Linked DNA regions of Oryzias latipes. The protein of the gene in region 1 interacts with the protein of each later gene in a pairwise test. Links are inferred from orthologs where the notes say so. Each region holds a gene or a part of one and is shown on either strand. Other genes may lie near its edges.

What was found.
Region 2: the proteins of ap3d1 (region 1) and vamp7 interact in a two-hybrid assay, tested with the Homo sapiens proteins (2 studies listed by BioGRID and IntAct). The link is inferred for Oryzias latipes from reciprocal best matches to the Homo sapiens genes AP3D1 and VAMP7.

What each region holds. Positions count from the first base shown.
Region 1 is NC_019862.2:30,490,759-30,494,793, reverse strand, and holds part of ap3d1 (AP-3 complex subunit delta-1), read left to right. Parts: intron 1-167; coding exon 168-217; intron 218-433; coding exon 434-482; intron 483-1,919; coding exon 1,920-2,065; intron 2,066-2,230; coding exon 2,231-2,379; intron 2,380-2,453; coding exon 2,454-2,684; intron 2,685-4,035. UniProt on the Homo sapiens protein: Part of the AP-3 complex, an adaptor-related complex which is not clathrin-associated. The complex is associated with the Golgi region as well as more peripheral structures.
Region 2 is NC_019868.2:26,863,141-26,867,409, reverse strand, and holds the start of vamp7 (vesicle-associated membrane protein 7), read left to right. Parts: upstream 1-1,469; 5' UTR 1,470-1,689; intron 1,690-2,084; 5' UTR 2,085-2,119; coding exon 2,120-2,265; intron 2,266-2,372; coding exon 2,373-2,430; intron 2,431-2,555; coding exon 2,556-2,693; intron 2,694-4,269. Other genes in the region: DNA-directed RNA polymerases I and III subunit RPAC2, read right to left, coding at 968-1,006. UniProt on the Homo sapiens protein: Involved in the targeting and/or fusion of transport vesicles to their target membrane during transport of proteins from the early endosome to the lysosome. Required for heterotypic fusion of late endosomes with lysosomes and homotypic lysosomal fusion.

The DNA.
Region 1 (4,035 bases):
TGTTAAAAATGTTATTTGTTTACTTGCTTTTTTAATCAAAGTTTTCATAAACATTTATTTAGTCAAAAATAGATATATTTTTTAGGCTATTTACGCTTGAAGCCTCTTTTTTTTTCTGTCCTAAAACATGATTTCTTGTTGAAACTGTGACGCTTTTTGTGTTGCAGTGTTGATTTCTTTGTCCTCCGGGATGCCCAACCACAGTGCTAGTATCCAGGTAGGTTCCCCACGTTCTCGGCCATCATCAGATCATAACCCTTCCACTCCAGTCACTTTCTGCCGATGACGCTCCTTTAAACATCTAAACACCACAGAGAACTTTTCACTATTTGGTTCAGCCGGTTTTGTCGAACAGAAGAGCCGCTGGTGTGGAAAGGTTGACGGGGATGTTAATGCCTCTGGTTTTGTCTTCTGCTCTGCTTTCCTCCCACAGCTCTGTGTGCAGAAGCTGCGAATCCTTATCGAAGACTCGGACCAGAACTGTGAGCCCTCTGTCAATGCCTGCAGTGTGTCATTTTCTCATTGTCTGCGTGTTTCTGTCTATGGAACAGTCCACCCCTTTAGACGACATGGAATTAGATCCCCTGACCCCGGATAACTCGAACATTACCTCTTTTCTTCACGTAATCAGGAGACCTGCTGGAAAGCCATCATACTTACAGAGCATCTGCAAACATCCCACAGCAGTATGCTGGAGAAAAGGAAGACCTTTCATTTTAATTTGACGTTTCAGCAGCTTCCCAAATGTCTTAATCCAATGTCAGGTCTGGCTCTAAAAGTCCCAAAGACTTTTCTGTTTTCAGTCATTCGAGTTATCTGGACCTCCATGGTAGATGTGTGTGGAGTAGACTGCAGACGTCTGGTGTTGGTAGAGCAGATTAGAGACTTGTAGTTTCAAGCTTAGTTTGACTTGTAATCCTGTTTTTTGAGCTTCTGTTAGACATTTTTCTGCCCGTTTAATGCAAACCCAGTTTTGTACGGGTCTCGATTTAGTAACTTCAACTGAAGCAGGAATCTCACTGAACCTGTGAACACTAGCCGACTGCCTGGTGAGCGTCTGGTCACTAATGGGCAGTTTATCCACGGGTTAGAGGGCGAGCAAGATCCAAACCAGTTTTCCGTCTTTTAGTAAATAGAAATGATCAGACTGTAACTGGAAAACATGCAAATTTCAGAAATCCTGAGCACAAATCGTTGACTTTGGAAAGAGATCCAGTTGATGTGAGGGCAGCATTCTGCTTTAGCTGCTAACAAAAAGAAGAAACGGACTCAACTTTCTAAGGGATCGACACCTGAAGTATACTACCTTACATTTCTCTAAAGAAGAAAAACAAATGGATGGAAGTGGGAAGAATATCTGTAAAATGCTTTTTGGTAAAGTCAGGAGTTTTCTTTCCAAATATCTTGCAGTAAACATCTTTGCTATTTTAAGCCTGAGAGATGGCGCCTCTTGGAGGTGATCATCAGCTGCTCCAGCAGACGACGGACAGAACTTTGTATTTTTAAGAATCCGTTTGAAAAGGGGATCCCCGGAAAAAACCCAAAGATCAGGAAAGATGAAACCCCCCTGTCCCGTGTGTGTTTGTGTGTGTTCACTCCTTTGTCTCGTGCGTTTTGTGTTTCTTCCTTTTTCCATTCCTCCTTTTTCACTTTTATGACTTTATTGTGAAAGTTTATTTGTATTACTTTGAAAACAAAGAACCAATGAGCTCTTTAGATGGAAAAAATATGCAGACATTTACAGCTGGAAGCGGTGAAAACGGATTTCTAACAGCAGATTCAAGTAACATCAGTCAGATTAGCGTTTATAGAAGTGGTTCAACTTTTAACAAAATACCGTGGGGAATAGTGATGAAGTTCAGACGACTACTCTTGTATTAAGTAGACTGAGGCCATATCTGTGTTGACCTTTGATGCAGTGAAGTATCTGGGTCTGCTGGCGATGTCAAAGATCCTGAAGACCCACCCCAAATCGGTCCAGTCCCATAAGGACCTCATCCTCCAGTGTCTGGATGACAAAGACGAGTCCATTCGCCTCAGAGCTCTGGACCTGCTTTACGGCATGGTAGGATCAGAAGATTCTTCTGCTGCAATTGTTTAAACAATCGTTTCTGGAAACCTGGTTGATCTTTTAGTTCTGAAGTTACACCAGAAAGGTTTTTTTCGTCTTAATAATTGCACCGTAAAGTTTTCACAAAGCAGCCTCTTTTGTTTTTGTCGCTCCGTCCAGGTGTCCAAGAAGAACCTGATGGAAATTGTAAAGAAGCTGATGCTGCATGTGGACAAAGCAGAGGGAACCACCTACAGAGACGAGCTTCTCACAAAGATCATCGACATCTGCAGCCAGAGCAACTATCAGTACATCACCAACTTTGAATGGTCCGCTGGATTCCTCCCCTTCCACCTCCTGCTCCGCCCCCTCTGAGTTCTGAACTGTGGCGTCTGCCTGACAGGTACATCAGCATCCTGGTGGAGCTGACCAGACTGGAGGGCACGCGCCACGGCCATCTCATCGCCTCTCAGATGCTGGACGTGGCCATTCGGGTCAAAGCCATCCGGGCCTTTGCTGTTGCCCAGATGGCGACTCTGCTGGACAACGCTCACCTGCTGACGGGAAACACGCAGCGAAACGGCATCTGTGAGGTTCTGTATGCGGCAGCCTGGATCTGTGGCGAGTTCTCTGAGTGAGTCCAATTCCAAAATGAAGATGCTCTGATCAGGAACTGATTCTGAAGCCATTGGGTTTTTGGTTTTGAGGTGAAAGGGAGGCAAAAGGTGAAGTTATTGTCACATTTCCAGTCTTGATCAGCTTTTGACGCTGGATGTAGACAGAACCGAGGAGGGTCAAAAGTTCTCAAAGGATTGTAAAGTAGAAAAACCTATCTTTGAAATTAAATTGATCTTTTTTTTTAAACTACAATATTGATTCATTTAATTTAATGAACCTTCAAATAAAAAACTAATGTAATTTTTAAGGGAATAAACACATTTGTTTGTTTTTAATGTAAGAATTCCTAATTTATTAATAAAAAAATCAATTTCTCAATCAATGATGCATAAAAACAAAAAACTGTCGATTTTTTGGTTTCTAAAATAAAAATTACAAGCACTCGGTAAATCATTTATCCATCAAACCAGAAATACAAATCTAGTTGCTTATGTTTACACTTTTTACTCACTTTAAACGTTCATTTAGTACAAGAGAATCAAGTGTAAACTGGGTCAATTACCGTAATTTCCGGACTATAAGCCGCTACTTTTTTCCTGCGCTTACAGCCTTGCGGCTTATTCAGTGACGCGGCTAATTTATGGATTTAATTAGCGGCCGCCATGTAACTCAGTGAATAGTTTGAATTCTCTATCTAACACCAAGCACGAGGCATTTTTATTCAACACACCTCTTAGCAGCCAAACAGCATGGACTTGACTTCAGGTCTTAGACACTTCAGTCATGGTTCAACAAAACGAAACACGCATGCCCGGCCGCATCCCAGAATCCTTTGGGGCCATTAGACCCAACGTGCACGTGATCGCCGCTACATTATGATGAAGCTTTCAAGTTAAAAGCAATCGTTAAAAGCAGCGTAAAAAAGTCCACCGTCACCAACGGGTTTGGAAAAGCCGGTTTGCTGCGTGACGGAGAGAACAGCGCATGGAGTGAATTTACACTCCATTTACGGTTTCTAAGGAAACCGTAAAAGCGGAATTTTGCTTTGAAAAACTCACAGCCTCCGTGTGAGCTGGAGACATCTTCTCTTGCTGATTGAGCTGCGGGGCCGATGGCAGTCTGAAGGCTCCCACACGTAACAACGCATCCACCCCTCATACACAAAACGTACAGTATTAAGTCCGATTGCTTTGCACAGAAACCATTTGCTCCATCCATCGGCTTAACGGGGACGAAGTGATCCTCCTTGAAGCCGCCCTGGCCAGAGGTGTCGGAGTAGATAGGAAGGGGAGACAAGGAGCGCAGAGGCGTCCGCGGAGTGCAGAGGCTTCTGAATTCTGACGCACGCGCCGCACTGAGGCGCGCGT
Region 2 (4,269 bases), on another chromosome or scaffold:
TGCTACAGGATGTCTTTTATTTTGAAAGGACGTCATGTGAACCTCTGTCAAAGGGTGTAAAATATTTTGTATTTAGAAAAAGAGGCTCATTTGTCCTTATGTTTTTTATTCATGCCCCGAAAAAATTCATTAGGGTTTAACACAACAGTAGAAATACCACAAATACACAAATCTGAGTCCTATTTTACTAAAAGGTGGAGTAGGACTTTGTGGCTCCTGTTGGGTTGTAGTCGGGATTTGTGGCTTTATTTTTGCTGGTGCTGTTCTTTTAGAGGTTTTTACCCTTGTTTTTGAGCTGTCGCTTATTATTATCATCCTTCTGTAGACCACTATAAGTGAATCTTGAAACATTTTAGTGGGTTTGTTGCTGAAAAAAATACAATTGAGAGCCATATTCCTCCTACAACAGTGTTTACATACATTAATTTGTACTCCATGAATATTGTTTCTCTGTTTTAGTGATCTTTGAGACTATGGACGTTTAACTTTTTTATTTTAATATAAATTACAAAAAACAAAAATCAGTTGTTTAGTAGGGACTTGTGGGACTATAATATATATATTTTTAACGTTTAAGTACATTTTAGTTCACAAATCTTAAGTAAACACTGCTTGTTTTAAAATACTGCCCCCTAGTGGGGATAAAAGACATCGCAGGATTTTGACCAAGTAAACAATGACATGTAGTAACACACTAAAATATAAGCTCAGTTTTATCAAATAAAACATGATTTTGGTTTCTTTTTAAGTAATATAAATTAACAAAAAATGTTTATATACGAGTAAAAGGGATTTTCTTATGAACAGACACTTCATCTTCCACGTGAAGTCTGCAGCCGGGCGGTGGAGAAAGCTAGCATTAGCTTCTTCGATGTGTTATTATATATTTCACCTACACAAACTTTAACCAATATACAGTTAAGTATCTAAATAACTGATCAAACAAAACGACATTTTCTTATTTTACCATTTCCAGTTTGGGTTTCTTCTCGCCATCCCCGGCCATGCTTTTCACGTCGCTCGCACTGCAAAGTATGAGCTTTGTGTTTCTTCCCCTTTATTTTTGACTTACAGGCTGAAAATGAAAGTGTCGCCATGCTGTTATTATTCATTAATAACTGAACCCGCTTGGTTGGACATTTATTCCGACTACAACCCTAAGAATAAATGTTTTATTTAGTCTGCCATAAAGAGATATGTCGATTTGAAGTGATGACACAAATAAATTTTGTTAAACATAGACATACAAAACATGCAATTAAGAAAAGATAAACGGATCGAACTTAAATTAGGTTGGTGATGAAGTACTACCTTTCACTGCGCTAAAAAGTAACATTCCTTAACATTTAATTTGCAAATGCATTCAATTTAGCGTGTAATCGTAGCCTTTAAGGCTAAACTGAGGGGAATTCCTAAACAGTTGCTCTTACGCATGAAAACATATGACGAAGACACATCGTCATTTGTAGTTTAGGGAAGTGTAGTTCAGAATGGTAGAAGAGCAGCATTCACTGTGAAAGAAATTGCAAAAAAGAACTACATTACCCAGCGTTGGTCAGTGTGTGCTTCCGGTCCAAAGGATCCGCAAAGCAGAAGTCACTCGAAAGGGATTAGCTAGCTTGCTAGCAGCTGACACATTATAAATGTGGGAAAATAATTAGCTCGTTTGAGTGGCGCTGACACGTTAAGGTATCGTTTTGTTTTGTTTTTTTGCAACAACGTTTAACTTACAAACAAAAACTTGAACTGACACTTTGATTAACATTTTGGTCTTTTCGTTGACGCCACCACTGTTCCGTGTTTATTTCAACATTACTTACTACGCTAGCTTGCTGCCGAATCAGTCTTTGTTTTTCCCAATGATTTATACCACAATAACACGCATAGGGATGTTGGGTGTAATCGTTTTTAGTATTTTTTTGTCTACAATACACAATTTTTTTCCTTTTCTTTCTAACTCATCTTAACGGAATTCCGGTGGGAGGGAGGGAAGGCGGGTGGGGGCATTTTTGTTTTACCTGAGCTCCACCTACCAAAAAACAACAACAACAAAAAGCTTATTCCTTTCCTTGTTTATTTGACAGAAAACTAACGTAGCGGAGAACCCAGCTGTGTTACCATGGCAATCCTGTTTGCTGTGGTGGCTCGTGGAACCACGATTTTGGCCAAACATGCTTGGTGCGGGGGCAACTTCCTGGAAGTCACAGAACAAATTTTAGCCAAAATCCCCTCAGAGAATAACAAACTGACCTACAGCCACGGCAGGTACGGTCCAGTTTGCTCCTTCATCTCAATAATTGTCATTATTTTGCCCACAATCAGGGCTAGTTTCTGGGAACGTGTAACTGATGGTGTTTCTATTTTGTTTTCAGTTACCTCTTTCATTACATCTGCCATGACAGAATCATATACTTGTGCATCACTGATGATGTGAGTATCTTTGGACTTTTTATTTTGTTTTGATGTTCAGCAATAGTTGGGAAGGATGTGACACTGGCACAAAGCTTTAAATACGTGTAGTTGCATTTATCGTGATTGAATGTTTTCTGTTAAAGGACTTTGAAAGATCTCGTGCATTTACCTTTCTTGGCGAAGTCAAGAAGCGCTTCCAGACGACGTATGGCTCCAGAGCTCAAACCGCCCTTCCCTACGCCATGAACAGTGAATTCTCCTCAACGCTGGCGGCTCAGATGGTGGGTTGAGCGTGACAGATTTCCTTAGAATGCCATATGACTTTTTTTAGAAGAAGAAAAAGACTTTTGCTTTAGTCATAACCAGAAAAGCAAACTTCTTCTATTTTTTTTCCTATTTCTTTTGGTTTTAGTTTCGTTTTTCCCCCAGAGTAGTTAAAAACGTCCTTTTTCTTTAAAAAAAACCCTTTTCATGTCAATTTCAGCTTTGTATAGTCAACATATTGACAAATGGGTTTCAACTTCCTTCTCTACAATCGTGGCATGTACAAAAAGATCAGCAGATGGTCACATGACCACTCTGGCATTTTAAGTACGTTTTAAAGTCAACCTTTGTCTGCTGCATTTGAATCTGTATCATTTGAATTATATCTGAACATTTTCCTGACCTGTGCAGCATAGAGATACAATTATCTGTCTTTATTAAGAATTTTCATGGAAGTGCTGTTTTAGGGATGTTTGGTATTTGAGGACAGACAAATATCTGAACCTCTAATGTATTATTAGCAAGGGTTTTCCAGTGTTAGTGTTAAAAAAAACATTGTCCTTTATTTTCCACCAAATATCGAAGTGATATGGTCGAAGGAGTAAAAAGTTTTTTTTTGTTTTTAAAGGAAAAATGAGTGCAGATTTTCAGTGTTCCTGTGGGGTGTAGGTACCATAACCATTCGGCCTGCAATAACCGTTCGGGGTCCTTCGAAGAGTGCTGACGTCACATTATGTGATTGGATGTCTGTTGGTCCGATCACGTGCAGTTTTTAAACTGTTGCAGTGAAATAGAAATGATGTTTTAGGTTGTTTTGCTCTTTGTTCATACACCACAAGTTATATCGTCATCGCAATATCAGATAGTGATTGGTCTGGATAAATTACGATACTAACATAGAAGAAGATATTATGCGGTCCGTTGTAAACATACAGAGCTCCGACACAGAGAAAGATTATCTTCTAAACGTGCTTTTGGTAATATTATGATTAGGCCTGCACAATATATCGCAAATTTATCGTTATCGCAATATCAAGCTGTGCAATATGCATATTGCAAAAGACGGCGAAGATCGCAATAAATGGTTACCTTAAGTATGCTAAAACAATCTGATGGCAGTATTTAACGAAGCAAAAATAATCCCTTTTATGTTTTTGACCAATCGGATGGAGCCCTTTTGTGTTAGATGTTCGTCTCCTATGTAGATGTTGGTCATTTGCAATGCAGTTTTTAAACTGTTGCAGTGAAATAGAAATGATGTTTTTGGTTGTTTTCCTACACCCCAAGTTACATCGTCACCGCAATATTAAGTTTTCCTCATGACATGTAGCCCTAAATATTATTATTATTAACTGCATTGCAGCTGAACAGACTGCGTTCTGAACTCTTCTCCGGACCGCACACTATAACAAAGCAGCTTCCCAGCCTGCGAACACGAAGCTACGAGACTCCAGCTGCTCTGCTCAGAGACACGGTTCACTCGTGTGGAGCAGCAGGTTCATTCTAACAGCCACAGATCTTTTTACAAAGTGGCTTGTGGCAAAATATCTCTGTAAATATTACAGAGAATAATCTCAGACACATCTTATGAGG